Xenopus tropicalis: one gene and its partners. The protein of the gene in region 2 interacts with the protein of the main gene of each other region in a pairwise test. Links are inferred from orthologs where the notes say so. Each region holds a gene or a part of one and is shown on either strand. Other genes may lie near its edges.

The links.
Region 1: the proteins of habp4 (region 2) and ybx1 interact in a two-hybrid assay, tested with the Homo sapiens proteins (2 studies listed by BioGRID and IntAct). The link is inferred for Xenopus tropicalis from reciprocal best matches to the Homo sapiens genes HABP4 and YBX1.
Region 3: the proteins of habp4 (region 2) and c1qbp interact in a two-hybrid assay, tested with the Homo sapiens proteins (2 studies listed by BioGRID and IntAct). The link is inferred for Xenopus tropicalis from reciprocal best matches to the Homo sapiens genes HABP4 and C1QBP.
Region 4: the proteins of habp4 (region 2) and rack1 interact in a two-hybrid assay, tested with the Homo sapiens proteins (2 studies listed by BioGRID). The link is inferred for Xenopus tropicalis from reciprocal best matches to the Homo sapiens genes HABP4 and RACK1.
Region 5: the proteins of habp4 (region 2) and chd3 interact in a two-hybrid assay, tested with the Homo sapiens proteins (3 studies listed by BioGRID and IntAct). The link is inferred for Xenopus tropicalis from reciprocal best matches to the Homo sapiens genes HABP4 and CHD3.

What each region holds. Positions count from the first base shown.
Region 1 is NC_030683.2:94,734,004-94,738,046, reverse strand, and holds the start of ybx1 (nuclease-sensitive element-binding protein 1), read left to right. Parts: upstream 1-1,243; 5' UTR 1,244-1,398; coding exon 1,399-1,498; intron 1,499-2,751; coding exon 2,752-2,815; intron 2,816-3,633; coding exon 3,634-3,667; intron 3,668-3,984; coding exon 3,985-4,043. UniProt on the Homo sapiens protein: DNA- and RNA-binding protein involved in various processes, such as translational repression, RNA stabilization, mRNA splicing, DNA repair and transcription regulation.
Region 2 is NC_030677.2:136,235,200-136,239,230, reverse strand, and holds the start of habp4 (intracellular hyaluronan-binding protein 4), read right to left. Parts: upstream 2,809-4,031; 5' UTR 2,718-2,808; intron 2,670-2,717; exon of another isoform or gene 2,538-2,669; coding exon of another isoform or gene 2,528-2,537; intron 2,228-2,527; exon of another isoform or gene 2,066-2,227; intron 91-2,065; coding exon of another isoform or gene 50-90; coding exon 1-49. UniProt on the Homo sapiens protein: Ribosome-binding protein that promotes ribosome hibernation, a process during which ribosomes are stabilized in an inactive state and preserved from proteasomal degradation.
Region 3 is NC_030678.2:105,094,763-105,098,054, forward strand, and holds the end of c1qbp (complement component 1 Q subcomponent-binding protein, mitochondrial), read right to left. Parts: intron 3,152-3,292; coding exon 3,056-3,151; intron 1,813-3,055; coding exon 1,687-1,812; intron 1,015-1,686; coding exon 868-1,014; 3' UTR 508-867; downstream 1-507.
Region 4 is NC_030684.2:71,557,595-71,561,711, forward strand, and holds the start of rack1 (receptor of activated protein C kinase 1), read right to left. Parts: upstream 2,812-4,117; 5' UTR 2,743-2,811; coding exon 2,634-2,742; exon of another isoform or gene 2,506-2,633; intron 2,147-2,505; exon of another isoform or gene 2,052-2,146; intron 1,877-2,051; coding exon 1,705-1,876; intron 1,341-1,704; coding exon 1,193-1,340; intron 1,007-1,192; coding exon 911-1,006; intron 1-910. UniProt on the Homo sapiens protein: Scaffolding protein involved in the recruitment, assembly and/or regulation of a variety of signaling molecules. Interacts with a wide variety of proteins and plays a role in many cellular processes.
Region 5 is NC_030679.2:146,922,115-146,925,629, forward strand, and holds part of chd3 (chromodomain-helicase-DNA-binding protein 3), read right to left. Parts: intron 3,486-3,515; coding exon 3,255-3,485; intron 1,612-3,254; coding exon 1,408-1,611; intron 889-1,407; coding exon 683-888; intron 1-682.

The DNA of each region.
Region 1 (4,043 bases), on a different chromosome or scaffold from region 2:
CCATTCAAAAGAAGAAAAGGCACAGGTTATATAGCAGCTAACAGATAAATCCTGTAGAATACAATGGTGTCTTATCTGTTATCGGCTATGTGCCTGTGCCTTTTCTCCAGCTTGAATGGCTGCCCCCATGGCTACACAGAAGCTTATTTATATAAACTATAGTAGTGTTTCTGAAGCAAACACCCCAGTTTTACCAGCGCAGGGCCACAGTACATTATATTTCAATTACTTTAAAACACTTTCATTTTTTGGTGTTACTGTTCCTTTAATAGACCAGTAATCAGTCAGTGTTGAACCATGAATTGTCAGCTCATACATCATTATTGATCTGACCTAACCAGTCAGAAAGACTAATTCATATTATTTAATTCTCATTTGCTTTTGTGGAGTTTTATTAAAATTATATGAGATAGATTTTAATGTGTCTTAAACTATCACATTTATATTAGTATTTGCGATGTGCATGCTGTTATTGCAGCTATGGAGCATACTGCAAGTTAGGCTGTGCAAGTGTACTGCTGATGTGACTATTCCCGCTATTATTAAAGCCCATTTATAAAACACTAATATACTCTGCTGTGTAATGTATTTGGGAAAATATAAGCAATAAGGCAGAAATTACACCATTGCGAAGAAACAAACAGAAATCAAGACATGAGGTCGGGGGGGCCTGCCCGTTAGACAATCCGAGGATTAGGAAATAAGCAATACGCCATACTTCCATAAAACCTTGGATTTGGACTCAGCGCCATAACAATAGACAGAGTCCGTTGCCTAAGCACAACCCCTTATATGAGTGATCTGGTATCATTACCTTCAGCTCATAAGGGCTGATGTGCCGGGAAACAGCTGAACTAAACACAAGTCAAATATTGAGGTACCTGCCCAATAGTTTATTGCATTTATCCTACCCCCCACACCTTACACTTTATTGATCACTGTTTATATCAGCCTTAGAGCTCAACAGCTACATCCCATCCAATAATGCAGACGCTAGAGGCAGAGACTAATCCCTCCAATCCTGTTATTGACATCTGCCTTAGCCAATAAGATTACAGAAGGAACACATCCAAACAGAGCGCGTCGATTCTTGATTGACAAGCCATTCGACCATACAACTGCAGAGTTTTTTACTAAACCCGTAGACTGACAAGCCAATTGACCAATAGGATAATAGCCAGGGCGGGATGTCTGCGATGATTAACCCGTCTGTAAGGCCATTGCCAGGCAGTTCGATCGGTAGCGGGAGCGGAGAGCGGACAGCAGGGAGCTCGAAAGGCAGCAGCCCCACCGCCGGCCTGAGTTACCATCAACACCCCGGGGGGAAGTTAAAGCGAGCCAACCGCCGGCCCGAGTCACCACCTCCGAAAGCAGCCAACTTACACCATCAAAGACACAATGAGCAGCGAGGTTGAAACACAACAGCAGCAGACAGTCGCATTGGAGGGCAAGGCCGGCCAGGAACCGGCGGCCACCGTGGGGGAGAAGAAGGTCATCGGTAAGTACGATTGAATTAGCATACGAGAGATGCCTCTCGGACACAGGCAGGGCTGGGTATTTGGCGCGTCAGGCTCAATATGACTACTACTCCCAGCATCCCCTGTGCAGTCACGTTGGTTAAGGCGATTACTAGATATTTGCACAAACAGGCGCGGTTATCTGTTTATTTATAGTGTGAGGGAGCGGTTTTCGCTTTTACTATAGGGCGCGGGTGAGTGGCGGTTACACCGACGTGGAGTGTCGTGCCACGCGGAGTTGTTGGTGACGGATCTCTGCCCCCCCCGGCGCCGTGACATCACCCCCCCCCCCGCAGCGCCGTGACATCATCCCTTCCTGTGTCCTGAGAGGAATAGGGCCTGTAACATGTCCGCCGCCGCCTGCGGCCTACACCCCCCCCACCTCCTCTTTTGTATGCCGCCGCGCCTTTGCTGGGTCCCCAGTAGCGCCTCTGGCCTCACGTTTGCTTTGCAAACATACGGGGGAGTGTGAGGGCCGTGATGGCGCTGGGAATTGGCGGCTCCGTGTGTCCCGGCTGCTCGGGTTGCGGCTCTGGCCCGGCTCCAGCCACGTGGTGTGTGAGTAGTTGTGGCACGGAGCTGCTCGTACCGCCTGGGCCTGAGCGGGAGGGGCATGAGAGCCATTTTAGTCTATCTTTGCACTCGGCTTGCTTAGTAGCAGCCTTTATAGCGCTTGGCAATAAACGGGGATTCTGGGAGTTGTAGTTTTTCATTTGAAAAAAAGAATTGACAACACTCTTATGGCCCCAAATAGCAATGTTTGTTTGCTGATGCCTTTAATTGTAATTCCGTGTGTTTATATAGCAGTGAGTGGGAATGCACACAACCAGTTGCATTACTTTCCCTCAGGAAATGTTGCTACCAGGGCCATGGGATAGGGCTTTGTTTTTGTTCCTCTTCCCCCATCCACCCCCATCCATCCTACTCAATGTAATTACTGTATAGCTGTGCCTGGCCCAGTAGCCATTGAAGTTGTATGTCCAGATAGCCATTAAACTAGCAGTGTTTATGTATTGCTTTGGCTTGTATCTCACTGGCTGCTGATCAATAAGTTGCATGTAACTAGTATTTATAATTTCTAATTATTTTTTTTTGTAAAAGTTAGCTTTCCAAACCACCACCCACCCCCTGTGTTTATGGTGCTACTGTGCTGCCAGAAAGTGATTGCTCTATTGTGCATATTAGATTGATCTTGTGCCTCACTCCAAACTAACGATTTTTTATTTTCTTTCAGCAACCAAGGTTTTGGGTACGGTCAAATGGTTTAATGTGCGCAATGGTTACGGCTTCATTAACAGGTGAGTTCATATTTCTGCCCCAACTTAGATTAGTAATTTGGTAAACTTGTTACAGCCTGCCTGACCCTTCGGGGCCATGCACGTGGTACTTCCCATAAATGCTTGTTTTAATATGGTTTAGCAAGTATATATTCCAGGATATGCGGTTAAGCAATACCAGAAGTTACTTAAATTACTTAACACTTGGGGAAGGCATAGTTTAAAAATGTTTTTATAGAGATGGGGAGCTGCTGTATTGCTTGCTTCCTAAGTAGCACTGCCTACCGGTTTCAGCGCTGTACTTCTATGAATGCCTGTGCCAAGAAAATGATCTTTGCCTGTCGCTGTTGTAGAAATTCAGATACACAACAAAAACAGTAATTGCACCCAGTAGCCAGGGCTGGCATGCTTTAATTCAGCTTTCCCTTATCCTTTCGACTGTATCTTAAGATTTTTCTGCTTTTTGAAAGGAAATGTACTTTTTTCACATAAACCAAATAAATCGGTTTGTTAAAAACAATTATATAAGATGGCTTCTTTCCTAAAATGTCAGAAATGAGCTATATGATGTGGGCTTTATGGAGAAAAAAAGGATGCTGGTTGAAATATATTTTCATTTGCCCATTCTTTGTCTAAAGGCAATGCTTTGTGGTTGGTAGAAAAAATGCCTTTCCAGCATTATTCCTATTTTTGTGCTTATGTTGCCTTTAGTGTTTGACCTATACATATAAATTAATTTGCACAGTACAAGCCTTTAATCTATTTTTGTTTTGTTTAGCTTTGTTGTGCTGTGAAAATTTCTACCTTTTGTCGTTAACATTTTGTTTTTATCCTTATAGGAATGACACCAAGGAAGATGTGTTTGTACACCAAGTAAGTATTCCACTTATCTGGGTTTTTTTTACAGATGTCTAGTCCAATCTAGTATAGAAAATGTATTCTATAACTTCTAATATGGTAACTTGTATTTGAGTATAGTGTTGATCAAAGCGGATTGCCTTGGTGTAATAAAAGAATGCATACTGAATAGAAAGTCATGACTGTTCCACAGTTGGATAGGACATTTTCCTACACCTTTTTATATTGCCATGGAACTAGATAGAGCAAAAGCAGATTTAATCAGTTTTCAGCATTTGTTCAGATTTCTTTTAATGTCTTTTTATTTAAAAAAAAAAATATATTTTTTTTAGACTGCCATCAAGAAGAATAACCCTAGGAAGTACCTTCGCAGTGTGGGAGATGGTGAAAC
Region 2 (4,031 bases):
GAAGCTGGTTGAAGCGGTTTTCAACTGCGCAGCCAAAGTTATCTTGCATGGCAACATTATCAGGGCTACTTGGCGCTTGCTTCATTGTATCTAGAAAAACATGACAAGAGCAGTATTAATTATTTTATAATTTAAACTTCACAAGTTAAGAAAGGTTAGGAAAGCCTAATTATCTTAAATTGGAAGATTACTCGGCGTCCTACTGAATTGTATTCAATATAGGGGAAGTTTTTGCTGTAAGACCTATGGTATCCATACATGCTATGGGAAAATACCCTTGTTTTCCCATTGGATGATAAACTAGACTCCCTGCTAGCATTTGCAAAGAGATCACAACACAATATAAATCACTGTTTGCATAAGTTGACATTTGTAGACAAGTATGACTGTTCAGCAGACTGCACAAATGGAAAAAATATAAAAAGACACTATGTATAACTGTCCTTTAAAGGGGTTGTTCACCTTCAATATCCAAATCTTATTAAACCACCACCAATGTCATAAGGGTGTTCTAAAATCAATTTTCCATAAAAAAAAGTATCTGACATGATTTTTATGGTATACTATTTTGTTTACAGTACATGACAGTATTTCTTTAAATACTGCTCAAATGTAACTCACAGCTGTCTACCTATAACAGCAGACACCCTTGTTTTTGGCCTCCTTAATTCACCCATATTCCAGAAAGTAGAGGTTACCAGTGTGCAGATAAGATGGGCGCACACATTAAAGGAACAGTAACACCAAAAAATGAAAGTGTATAAAAGTAACTAAAATATAATGTGCTGCTGCCCTGCACTGGTAAAAGTTGTGTGTTTACTTCAGAAAGTCTACTATAATTTATATAAATAAGCTGCTATGTAGCCATGGAGGCAGCCATTCAAAGGAGAAAAGGCACAGGCACATAGCAGATAACAGATAAAACACTATTGTATTCTACAGAACTTATCTGTTATCTGCTATGTAACCTGTGCCTTTTCTCCTTTTTTCCAGCTTGAATGGCTGCCCCTGGGGCTACACAGCAGCTTATTATATAAATTATAGTAGTGTTACTGTAGCAAACACACCAGTTTTACCAGTGCAGGGCAACAGTGCATTATATTTGTATTAGTTTAAAGCTCTTTCATTTTTTAGTGTTACTGTTCCTTTAAGATCCGCTCGTTTGGCGAGGTTGACTAGTGAATCTTCTCCCAATATGCCCAGCTAAGGTGGACGATTTTGGGCTAATTCAATAGTTTGGCCCTAGGGCCAAACAATCAAATTACAAAGAGTAAAGGGGCAGTTGGACCAAGGACTGCTTCAGTAAGGCAAATCAGTCCCCAATCTTACAGGAAAATCAAACGTGCCCAATTTTCAGCCAGTTAGCGAATGGGGAGCCCCATCAGGGGGCCCATATACAGGCAGATAAGCAGCCGAGTCAGTCTAAAGGTGGCCATACACGAGCAGATCCGCTCAACCTACGGGTGGGCGATATCGGGGAGCATTTAGGTAAAAAAAAAAATTATCTGATCGTTTGGCCCTGGGGCCAAACGATCGGATTATGTGGGCGGCAATGGGGCAGTCGGATCGGGGACCGCATCAACGAGCCGATGCGGTCCCCGATCCGACCGGATTTTCTAACCTGGCCGATTGAGATCTGGCCAATTTCAGGCCAGATATTGGTCGGCCAGGCCGCTCTGCTCTCCCCATACACGGGCCGATTAGCTGCCGAATCGGTCCAAGGGACTTATATTGGCAGCTATAGTCGGCCCGTGTATGGGGACCTTTAAGCAGGCATCCTCAAACTAGGGAGCCCCCACCTCAAAGTTAATTTACCTGCCCCCCCCCCCTTAAAAAGTCTGGGGACCCTTGGTCTAAAGAACTCAAATCACCATCTTAAAATATGCCCTTGTAAGCCCACCTTTACATCTGAACTATTAATGTAATTATCTAGCACGCAAGAACAAAACATGAAGTACTTTCAATTTTTAGCTCAAGGGGGGAGGAAAAAAAATGATATAGGAATACAGAGCCACTAAAATGGCTTCTATAACACTAATCCCTATATAGCTAAACCTACACATACCACTTAAGTGGACTATACAAAGGCAAGAAGGCGAGCGATATGGCGTTTGCCAGGCCAGTTGGAAGCCATTTGCTCCAGGAACTAAACGCCTCCAGGGATGGGGCAGCCCGCCGCCCAACACATATAAATCCTGCACAAACAGACTGCATGCCGGGAGTTCAATACTAAATTACACGGACAGCAGATAATTAAAAACCCCGACCGTCCACTCAGAGTCAAATGGGCTTTATAACAGATTAGCACCATCATCCTTAAACAGTTGAGGCGCCACCATATTAAATAGCTGTACCAAACTGCACCGTCCCAACCAGCACTCAGCCTGCGGGATAAGCTGCGCGTTATGTATAAACTACTTTAGCATGGCTCCACCTTGCCGAACACTGATGGAAACGCTCACAGCGATATAATGGGACACAACCTACAAAGCCAACATTACAAGTAGCAAATACATGCATATAGTACCCAATCGCATTGCACCGTGCCAATGCTCCAACGCTGCGCCACGGTCGACAAGCAACTCTAACGTCCCAAGCAGAGATGCGCTAAGAAGCCGGGACACTCCTACTTCTCCTCTTTACCTCACCTTCTGGAGTCATCAGTCATCCCATCCCCATCCCACAAATATCCCTCAAAGAACACGCCCTAATCTTACGGGATTAGACGTTCAGAACTTCAGTCACGAAGATCCCGCCTCCCGGTTGAGCATTTATTCCGCGAACCAGTAAGCCAGCCAACATCGCGCCAGGCCAGCCTATCAACGCTAACGCCGCTCAGGTGCCTGATTTAAAGACATGACTGGCAAGCCCCTCAATATTAACCCCGCCTCCGCAGTTACCTAATGGCCAATCACATGCTGGCTGTGTCTGCGGATTAATGCTTTATTCAGGAGAGGGTTTCCTGTGCAGTTAATGTTAGTGGCGCAGGTGGATGGGGAGCTGTGTGATTGCGATAGTGCTGGTAACTTTCTGCCTACTGGTTAGATTGTGTTAAGGGATTTGCTGACTCCTTGGCAGAAGCACAACTAAGCAGCAAACTAACCATTGCCATAAGAATATGCACGGCGCACTGTATCTGTCTCCATAGGAGTTTCTTCTTATAACTAGAGTCTGCTCTTTTAAAGTATAAATAATTTAAAACAGGTAATGACTTGAGCTGGCCATACATTTTAAGATCTTTGAAAGATATTGTTTGTTATTGTAGGACCAATCTTATCCTGAAAATCGTTTATGATTTGTTTATCAATGAAAACAATTTCAAGCGATATTGTCTAGTTGAAGCTAGGAACACTGTGGGTACCTACCTGCTTAGCCCTGCATACAATTGGATGATGAATACATTTTATTTTTAATAATGAAAATTTTCAATCCTGCCCGATCACTTTTCTGATCGATGGATGAAAAATCAATAGATGTGTAGGGACCCATAGGGTTAAATGGCCCCTATGGCTTTAAATCCCTACAGTTTCAATTCCCTTAGTTGCTGGGCAAAAGGGAATGTATCTAAGTGAGTTCATAAACATATGTGTACTATTGGTTAGAAGGTATGGTGACCACATCCTGCCTCACTTTGTTATAGTGCTGGGAGAGAAGTGGCACCTTCCTGTTTGCTTCCACCTGAGGAACAGGGTGGATGTGGGCTGTGAGCCCAGGGTATGGGCCCAGGCCCAGTTGAAGTCGGGGAACAGGGCCCCATGAATGAGGCATTAGTGGCAGGTGTAGCTCCCTTTATAGTACACTCTAGGGGGCACATTTACAAAGGCACAAACGCTAGGAGCGTATTTTTGCCGAATTTTTCGTGTGTCCGCACGACTTTTCATACACTGCACAACTTTTTCGTACGCTTGCAGGAAAAAATCGGAAAGTTTTTGCCGCTGTTTACAATTGTACGGTATGAAAATTTTGTGACATTCGGATCGCCAATACGATATTATCGTGACTAATACGATTTTTTCGTAAGCATTTTCGTG
Region 3 (3,292 bases), on a different chromosome or scaffold from region 2:
TTTTGTGGTTAAAATCACGATATGCCAAAAATTTGGAGTAACCACAATAATTTCTGATGTTCGAAAATGTCACGAAAATCGTTTATTGGTCGTACGAAAATATTGTGGTTGTGTTCTGAAAGTCACAATTTTTGGATCTGAACATTCGTAAACGGCGCAAAAACCTTTCTGGCTTTGAAACCTTCAATGTATGATTTTGGAAGCCTTCCATGGCACTCTACAGATCAAACCTGGCCAAAAGATAGCCACGATACCAAAGCTTGAATGAATTCTGAAATGGTTGTATTCTTTGCGAAAAATACGACTTTCTGTGGAAGTTAACGAAAACCACAAAAAAGTTGTGGAATTTTAATGAAATTATCGTGGACATAACGAAAAGTTCTATAAGTTGGAAAAAGATAAAAAATTTTCTAAAAAAAACTGAAGGTGTTTTTAGGTCTATGCTGTCCCTTTACGTATGAAAATGGTGTAGGCATATAAGGAAACAATACACAGAAATAAACTTAATTAAGTTTTAAGAAGTTAGATCTGTTTCTGAAATATATTTATTAAAAAATAATAGATGAAGCCTTACATAAGCAAAAAAACAAAAGGGTTGTCTAAACATAAGTGGGTTTAAGCAAATCTTGTTACATCAATAGACACCATTTTTGTTATGGATGATTTTGTTTTCTACATACTTTGACATTTGTTATAGAATGTAAAAAACAAAAAAAAAAACCTCTTGCCTTTTCACAATTTTAAATCTGTCCGATTTTACAACACATCCCACAGATTTAAAATGTCCATTATGCAAGATGACATGCAACAAGATCCTCCTCTGGCCGCAACCTTTAGAACAGAAGGTGATTGCTTCTCAATGTCTTCTTAGCATTTAACAAAGTCTTTAAGGTTTTCTAGAAACTTGATGTATTCCTGGTGCTCCAAAGCAGTGCTTAGTTCCACTAGCTCATCAGCAAAAGTATTATCCACTCCACGGTCAGCCAAAAAATCCATTAAGTGATCATAAAGGGCCTACAAAAGATTCAAACACCAGTAGTTAATATACAAAGTTATCACAACGTCTTTACCTGATATTTAAGCAGGGACACTGGTGCAATTATGACCAAGTCAGTAACCAATCATCAGAACAGTCTACTTAACATACAATATTTTAAACCAACAAATGGTTGCTAAACTGAGGCCAATTTAGAAGATATTACTGATGCATGGGGCAGGTTGCAGGACAAACTTAAGGTCCCTTCCTGCTCATGACATCACCATCTATACCTCAGCCTCTCCAGTGATATTACCACTACAAAGCCCTCCGCTTTAATATCAGACTAGCTTCAAGACAGTCTAAAGACCTCTAGACAGTACAAGATCCTGCAAAGGGCTATGGCACACAGGACAATTTGTGATTTAAGCAGCCAAAAAACCTATCGACTTCTATGCGAATCACTTGCAAGACAACTTTCCCATGTTTTCAGACAACTAATAAGTTAAGTACATAAGTAAAGCCTGTTGTTAGAGATTCACACAGAAGTCATTGGGTGCTTTTGCAGTTTATGTGGCCTACTAAAAAAAAACAAAAAAACATGGTTTTCAAGTACCCAAATCTGCCTTTGGTGCCATACCCACCAGGTGGGTTGGTCATGGATTTTGACATGAAAATGTAAAATGTTGGTTTAAAAAAGCTATACCAACCCAGTCAAGTGAATCAGTGTTAAGTGTATAGCTGTTCTCCTTCCATTCTGTATCTCCTGTGGGCTGAAAGCTAACCTCCCGAATAGTAAAAATGTCACTTTCTTCCTCTTCTTCCCCATGTCCAACCTTAATTTTGAACAAGAAAAAAAAACAACTTTATTTAACCACACATTTGTTTTGTAAAGAGGTTTATAAATAAAGTCATAGTCAGGAAAAAAGTAACAAGCATTCCTTGAGAAGCAATACTGAAAAATTGTGGAAGGAAGGCAGGATTTTTAAACTTTGCATAAACAGAAGGAAAGGTTTGTAGTCTGCAGGATCTTCATTCCCATGAGCATGCATACCCAAACTAGGGTACCAGAAAGAGTGCTATCAATTCTTTTAGAACCCTTAAAAGAGAACTATAGCCAAATGAAAGAAGTAGGCCTAGAGGGGCCCTTTTTGCAGATGTAAAATAAATAAATCACATTTTGACACAGTTCAAATTATTGGTGTGCTTCTGGATTTCTAATAAGGTTTTGGGCTTCTGTACCAGCCCAAGGCAAAAACAGTCCCTCAGCCCTCCAAAAGGTGCCCCCAGTAACTCCCCATTTTCTTTTTTGCTGATTAACAACACATGCTCTGTGCTGCTATCAGTTACTTAGGGCTTAGGGACAGACACACAATATACAATATATGGCAGCTCTGAAACCACTGCAATTAGCATTAGAATTTAATAATCAGACCTTTAGCATTAGCTTATATGACAGGCCAACCTCATTTTCTGCTTGATAATTTGGCTTAGCTTCTCAACAGCTGCTCAGAGCACACTGGTGTGATAAACTAGTGTTTATCAGCCCTGTTGCATCTCCCTCTATGATAGACCAACATAATTTTCAGCTTGATAATTTGGTACAACCCCTAAGCTTAGCTTCTCAACAGCTGCCCAGAGCACACCAAGCATGTGAGTGTCTTTCCCAGATGGGGAGCTCCTGTGACACGTTTAAAGTCCTGGATCATTGCTGCTATAGAGATGCTGGTCCAAGAAGTTCAGTATATAAAATATTGCGCAACTGTAAAGTGCTGGCTTGATAAAGGGCCCAGTGAGGCCCAAAAAATTGCCTTGCTTGATGTCTACTTATGAGCTAATTAATATATATATATATATATATATATATATATTATATATATATATATTTTTTTTTTTTTTTTTATTTTTTTTTTTTTTTTTTTTTAACAGATGTTTCAGATCCAAATATGTCAGCTGCACAGGCAGTCCTAATGCTAACTCACATTGACATTAGAATGGTTGCAGACTTAACTGTACATACATATAAAAGGATAACAGATAAATGCAAAACAAAACATTTTATATTTTAGTTGTGTGTACCTCATCCTCTGGATAGTGACAGTCAAGAACCAGGGTGTGGTTGGTATCCAGTTTTGTAACTTCTACAACAAAATTGGGTGTAGACACAAGCTCAGGCTGTAAAATGAAAAAAAAAGTTTTAATGTCAAATATATATGCTACACAAATGTAATTCAGAGACCAAAAAACTGAAGTTGCCATTGAATTTGATCTAAAACATATTATACTGATCAGAGATTTTTTTTGCTGATACAGTAA
Region 4 (4,117 bases), on a different chromosome or scaffold from region 2:
ATTTCATATAGTAAACAACCTGTACCATATGGTATTCTTAAAAAGGTGCAAGAGGATACTGGCCATGACTTGGTAGGGTAGTTTGGCCAATTTTGACCATATGGGCCTACTTTGTGTGCCTATATAGCCAATACAAAAGGATGGGGGGGGGGGGGGGGGGAAGATAAATAATTCCATGATTCTGGTAGATCAAGGATCAGCAGTCCTCATGGCCAATTTCCAGTCAGCCAGAAGGGAAGCAGCAACTCTGCAATTTGTCTAATTTGTTCAGTGTCGACACTGAATAGAAAAAAAAGCCACACATGTACTGCCACTACAATATTCATTCATCACTCAAATGCTGTGTCTGGTAGGCCCATGTATGGGGGCTGAAAGCAGAGCTGCAAGATTAACTACAGAAGTAGGGCATAATTATTTTTACATTATGTGTTTTGCGCTTTTGTAACAGCCCTAGGAAATCATAGCCCTTTAGAAGTAATGTGCCCCAGTAGCTTCCCATCTTTTCTGATGATTCACTGCACATGTTCTGTTCTGTTCTGTTTCCCGAGCTTAGAACTATTGACAGGCTAGAAAATTTGCGACAACCCCTAGACTTAGCATCTCAACTGCACACTGAGCACGAGTGTCACCGACACTAATAAAATCCAAGATGGGGAGTTCCCGTGACAACTGCAGAAGACCTGAACATTCAGTATATAAAAGTGGGCATCTCTAGCCACTTATTTTCAGGGCTTAGTTCTTAGTACTTGTTTAAGAGGGGTCAGTAGTGCACTATTTAAAGGGGGAGTGAAAACGCTTTAAAGCTGCTTAACACTTTACTTACCAAACAAGTATGCATTTAAAAAAAAAAAAAAAAAAAAAAAAAAAACTCTGAACCCGTATTAAGACTGGAGGCATCCAAAATACTCACCTTCACCATCTTGTCCCAGCCGCAGGATACAATGATGGGATTACTGCTGTTAGGGGAGAACCGGACACAGGACACCCATTCAGTATGTGATTCCTCCTAAGAAAGACAGCTTCATTAGTAAACAGCCTGCCAAAAGACCTAGAATGACTGTTTATTTGGTCCCTTCATAATTGCAGGAGTGTCATCCTGAAATTAGTGTGCCTATATTAGACACTCAGAATACAATTGTTCTAATCACGTGGACCAACAGAACTAAAATATAGTTATAACGCTCATACATACCTGCACAGTGTATTTACAAACGCCTAAAGTGTTCCACAGCTTGATTGTTTTGTCACGGGATCCAGACACAATTTGCCGGTTGTCAGCAGAGAAAGCGACACTCAGGACATCTTTGGTGTGTCCTACAAACCGGCGTGTGGTGGTGCCACTGCAGAGGGATATTTGACACGATGACAAAATGACAGTATCCATTCCCCTCAGAACACTCCTTTCTGTGCCACCCTGCAGGGGGAGGGACAGATTCATAGCTTCCCTCTACCTAGGTTACTATTTAACTGGTCCTTTGTCATATGCTTCCCCTGCAGGGATATTCTGGTCTGACAGTAAGTGGACTCAAATGATTCTTAATGCTAAAGTTAGTCCAGTCATTCCTTCTATCCAAGTAATAAGTCAAATTCTGTAGTACTGAAACCATGTCTAATTCCCTGCTGCTGATCAGTAACTTTTGCTGAACATTCTGAAAAGCAGCCATTTAACAGGCCAGGTAATGGAACAAGGATAAGTGTACTCACGTTGTAAGATCCCACAGTCTGAGTGTTCCATCCCAGGATCCTGAGAGAGCGAACTGCCCATCTGAAGAGATAACCACATCACTGACAAAGTGGGAGTGACCCCGGAGAGCACGTTGTGGAACCCCATAGTTTGTTTCATCACGAGTCAGCTTCCACATGATGACAGTCTTATCTGTGCAGAGAGGAAAAAAAAAAAAAAAAAAAAGTCAAAGGACATAAGAACACTATTGCTGATTTAAATAAGTGGTAACCTCAACTTCTATGCAGTAAACCTCCAACAAGGCAGTTCCACACAGGGGTAACCCTCCCAAAATAAACCATGCCATCACAGCGAAGCCATGCCATACCTTGTCATTGGTCTACGGTGTCTCATTTTATGTCTGTAAGCAGGTGAAGATGTTTTTCCTTTGCACAACCCAAACTGCCAGAAGAATGAGGTTATCTAGTATGCAAGAAAAATGAAGACATGAGATGTGCAAAGAAAAAACACTTCCACCACTGCTCATACAACTCTATGGCATTGTCAGCCTGCAAATTCTTCAGTACCAAGGGCTAAGGAACAAAGTTCTAGCAAACAATAGCTGCCACTATACATCATATATCGCTCACACCATAATTAAAAGGTAAGTTAGCCCGCAAAATCTACCACCATCTTTCCCTTGCTAATCAAAACGACAGATAAAGAAAAGCTTCATTATAGTTAGGACTTCCAATGACGCATAATGAATGAGGAGCCATTTTAGCCCCGATACAGTAACATATCACACAGCGACACTAAGTAGTTACAGCAATCACATTTACCAGGGCTGAAAAAAGCAACGTGTAAGCATTCATGCTCTTGTTCTAACGATAAACGGGGTCCCGGATACCGCAATGCATATAAACTTGCGTGGATCGATAGGCTACAGTAGGCGTCTCATGCATCTCACCTCTGGAAGAGCTGAGAATCATGTCCGGGAATTGTGGGGTAGTCGCGATTTGCGTGACCCAGCCATTATGGCCCTTTAGGGTCCCCCGAAGTGTCATTTGCTCAGTCATGGCTGCGATGAGTCCGAAACCGCTCCACCGGCAAAGGATGGAGACAGATGGTAGACACCGGGCCTAAAGCGACCGAAGAGAGGCTGAACTAGGCCTCGCCTCGCCTTTTATACAAAGCGGCGTCCTGACGTAAGCGCGCTGCGCCGCCTTGCGTCAGGACGCCTTTACCCGGATGCATTACTTGTTTACATCACCAGAAACGAGTTTCAACATGGCAGCGAGTTGCAGAATGTCGTACAGTGCAACTTAGGCTAAAAAATCGCGCTACTTTAAAATCTTTTAAAACAAGACAAAAAAAGAAAATATGAATGACAACGTGAATTCCAAGCATAGGTATAAGCGCTAGAACAGAATTGGCTATTAAATCAACTGGTGACTACTTTCCCTGTCAAATAGAGAAATCGCGGGGATAGGCTGACCGTACGCAGGCTAGTTTGCGTTCTGATTGTAGCACACGTGAGAGGGTTCCCATGCTTATATGACTGTGTGCTGGCGCCATATTGGTTGTGGAATGTTAGCTGCCGTAAGTGTGGAACACGCACATCTTGGATATATTGTTGTTTAAAACGTAACTATCATGAGGATACTGGGCGGCAGGCATAAGTAGTTTTTTTTTGTCATAAACAGGAAATAAAACATTAGAAACATTAAAAGTGCTTCAAAACATGCTTTACATGTATTATATTAGTCAGTGCCCCACTGGGTCTCTTTCACCACTGGGGAATCTCCTTTATAGAGTTATCTCTGTTTGTAGGGGTACCTTTTGGCATTATAGTCCACACCTTGCGCCCTGCTCCTTACTCCCCCACCTGAACTAGGGCAGGGACACTGCAGTATCTCCTGCACTGAACAATTTCCTTATAAAAAAAAAAAAATTCTGCTCTTTAAGCCACACGCAGCCTATGGCAAAGTTCTCACTATTTTTGATTGAACCAAACTGTAAACTGGGATTGAAACCACCATTAAAGGAGAACTATAGCCCCCAACAATGTAGGTCTCTACAAAAATATATTGCATAAGCAAGCTCATACGTAAAACCCTGCTTCATCTAAATAAACCATTTTCATAAAAATAGACATTTTTAGTAGTTTGTGCTATTGCGTAATCATAAATAGAAAATTGCCATTTTAAGAATTAAGGGCCACCCCCTGGGATCATAGGATTCACAGTGCACACAAACAAGCCAAGGCACACATACATGCTAGGCCCCATCAGCCAATGAATAGACAGGGTTCTGTCTTTAACTCCCACACTACTTCCTGTTACGGTTAGAGCTGGGCAATATTTACTGATATATATATATATTCCATTTTGGTGAGATTACTAGGTCACTTAAAATTATATAAACTATCTGTTGGTTAAGTATTCATTCTGG
Region 5 (3,515 bases), on a different chromosome or scaffold from region 2:
GGGGGGGGGGGAGATCAAACCCATGGTTTAAGGCAGGGATCCTCAAACTACGGCCCGTGGGCCAGATCCAGCCCCCCAAGGTAATTTACCCGGGCCAGATGTGTCCCCACTCCTGGCTACTACCTGTCTGCAGACGCAGCTGGGAGCAGGGAGCCGGAGAACGCAGCGGGGTAACAGGGAGCTGAAGGGCACAGCAGGGGAAAAATGGAGCCGGGGGGGCGCAGCGGGGAGCAGGGAGCCGGAGGGCGCAGCGGGGGAGCAGGGGGCACAGTGGAGAGAAGAGAGCCGGGGGGCACAGCGGAGAGAAGAGAGCCGGAGGGTACATTTGGGAGCGGGGGAACAGGGAGCGAGGGTATGCAGCAGGGAGGGGGGCGTAGTTTGAGGTTTTGAGGCATAGTTTGCGGACGCGGGGGGGGGGGGGATATTCGGAGGACTACAGTCCAGCCCCCCAACAATCTGAGGGACCATAAACTGGCCCCATGTTTAAAAAGTTTGAGGACCCCTGGTTTAAGGTTTAGCCTGTTTTCATGAGTGTTCCGTTTTGGGCAGGACTACATGCTTCTTACCAATAACACCTTTTGGTAGGTACCTTGATGGTGGCCAGAGAGGTATTAACAAATAAAATGGCTGCTTTCTCTACATGACACGTATAAGGATAAGACCATTGGGCCAGCCTTCAGACCTGTGGTTGATGATTCTCTGGATAGACATCCACTCAGGCTTTATGCCGTAACGGTAGAATCTTTCCTCTAAGTCGGAGTACTCGGCATCCTTGCTTTTCTCACTCTTGCCCTCGTCCTCCCCGGAGCCGTAATCAAAGGGAGGGGGTTCGTCCATGTCGTTCTTCCGTTGGAAGTTGCGGTACATGACTGTATGAAAGATCTCCAGCTGAAAGGAGGGGGGAGAGATCACTGTGAGGGAGGAGACAGAAGGGAAGAAAAAGGAACGGGGGTGACACGGAAAAATACATGGAAGTTATATGGGAAGAAAGGTGGGGTGGGAGGAGGATACAGCAGGTTTAGGTAAAGTAGTATTGATACAAACAGCATGGGGCGAGAAGGACAAAAAAAAAAAAAATTAAGAAGGGAGGGAGAAAAAGAGAAATGGTGACCTCTAGCTCTGCTGTTCATGTGAATGTATATAATACAAAAGAGCCATGAATATCCGGTAAAAGATACCCTTATAAACGGTGCTTAGTGATGTCGTTTCTGTCACATGACTCACTAAAACTTGTATACTATAATAAAGTACCCCCTATTGTAAAATATGAAGGTATTAGAAGTCACCTCAGTGCTCCATGACCTGTATAGAAGCTTTTATATGGTCATGGGACTCCTCTGTGACTTATAATATCCTTATATTTTACAATAGGGGGTACATTCTCCTCTATAAAGGCCCAGCACAGACCTGTAGCTCAGTGATCCAGCAGCAGTGCCAGTACGACATCCCTGCCCACTTGACAAAGAACTCCCTCTCCGAGCGCCCTTGCAAGGCTCGAGGCGGCTCCTCATCTTGGGCCCCATCCAGCGGCTGAGGGAGCGGGACTCCTTCAGGGGGTACGCCCCAGCGCCAGTGTAGGATTTTCTGCACTTTGCCCTTCAGTTGTGGGCACTGCGGGAACGGGAGAGAGAAAGTGTTATAAAGATGGCGACGTTTCCCATAATCCAACTGCAGGCGTTTGTGCAACATTCTACTGCTGAAATATGAAGTCTGAAACTGCCTCCATCAAAGACAATGGCGCTTTAAAGGGGTGGTTCGCCTTCAATTTAACTTTTAGTATGTTATAGAATGACCTATTCTAAGCAACTTTGCAATTGGTTCTCATAATTTGTAGGGATGCACCAAATGCTAACTGGGGGGGGGGGGGTAAAGGCATTCTTTTTAACTACTTACTGCATATCTAAATTCCCATATCCCTGCTTGCTTCTCTGAGATATGGTGCTGGCAGCCTACAGCAGTGTGAAGCCTACAGTGACATCACTGAAATCTCTCTCCCCTTCCTGTAGGTGCCAGCGGCAGCCTTCCTATTCTCTGAGCATGTGTGTAACTTGATCCTGTCTCCTGTTCTGAGCTACACATGCCCACCAGCCAATCAGAAGCGGATCTGCCAGAGGGGAGGGGGGGAGGGAATGAAACACATGTGCAGTATGAAGCAAGGAGGGAAAGGAAGGGAGAATACCTTTTTAGAGATGGCTGCCTGTTCTAGAAAATGTGAAGTGTGACTGAGTAAACATTTGATTAGGTGAGCCAAAAGTGTGGCGTTTTTACTAAACCGAACCCTGCCAAAAAAGGCAAAATCCTGGCCAAATACCGAACCGAATCCAGGATTTGGTGTATCCCTAATTTGTTTTTTTTATAGTTTTTGAAATATTCTTCTGTCTCTTTGCAGCTTTCAAATGGGGGTCACTGACCCCGGCAGCCAAACCCTATTGCTCTGTGAGGCTCCAGTTTTATTGTTATTGTTACTTTTTACTAGTTATCTTTCTATGCAGCCCCTCTACTATTCATATTCCCATCTCTCCTTTAAACCTCTGCCTGGTTGCTAGGGTAAATAAGACCCTAGCAACCAGATAGCTGCTAAAATACCCAATGGAGAGCTGCTGGACAAAGCTAAATAACTGAAAACCCATAAAAAGTAATTGCAAATCGTCTCAGAATATCAATGTCTACATCATACTAAAAGTTAATTTAAAGTGTACTACCCCTTTAAGGGCAAGGTCACACAAGGCATTTTTTTTAAAAACACGGATTGGAGCGTAAACACTTTATTGTTCTGCGTTTCTCGGCCTGTAGCCTTTTCCCAACATGCATTTCAGTTTCTTCTCATTCACCCCAATTCCCATGTGTAATGATGCAAATGTGCTTCATCATTTCCGTTCTGTAATAACGCAAAATATCTTTGCGCCATCATTTCCACAGTCCCTTTCCCTTGTAGTGTCACATGATCACATTATGTATGAACTTATCGCCCATACATAATGTAAATACATCATTGGCATATAATGACGCAAATTTGTATATGCGCAATGCATTTTGCAAGAGTTTTCCGCCATATTGAAAATACGTGGGGTATTTCAGCAAAGCTTCCCAACCTGTGGATCCCATAGAGTTTAAAGGTACGGCGGGTATCAGCTTTTTTTTTTTATTCCACTATTATCAGTAGCTTGATTCCGCTTTTTTAAAAACGCCCCATGTGTCCTCACCCTAATGGACATGTGGACAAAGATACAAATGATTCACGATTTCTCTCTCACCGTGCAGCGCGGGCAGAGCCACTCCCCGTGTGGAATGTCGGGCAGCGGAGGATTGAGGCAGTGGATGTGGTAGGAGGAGACACAAGCATCGCAGCACAGCAGCTCCCCTCCATCTTTACACACTCGGCAGAACTCCATGTGGTCGTCTTCCTCCTCCCGCCTCTCCCTTTTGGGCTCTTCCATCTCTTCTTCCTCGAGCTCCTTGGCTTCCCACTGGACACCCTCCTTCTCCTGTCAAGCAAGTGATGTTTTAGTAGGTTA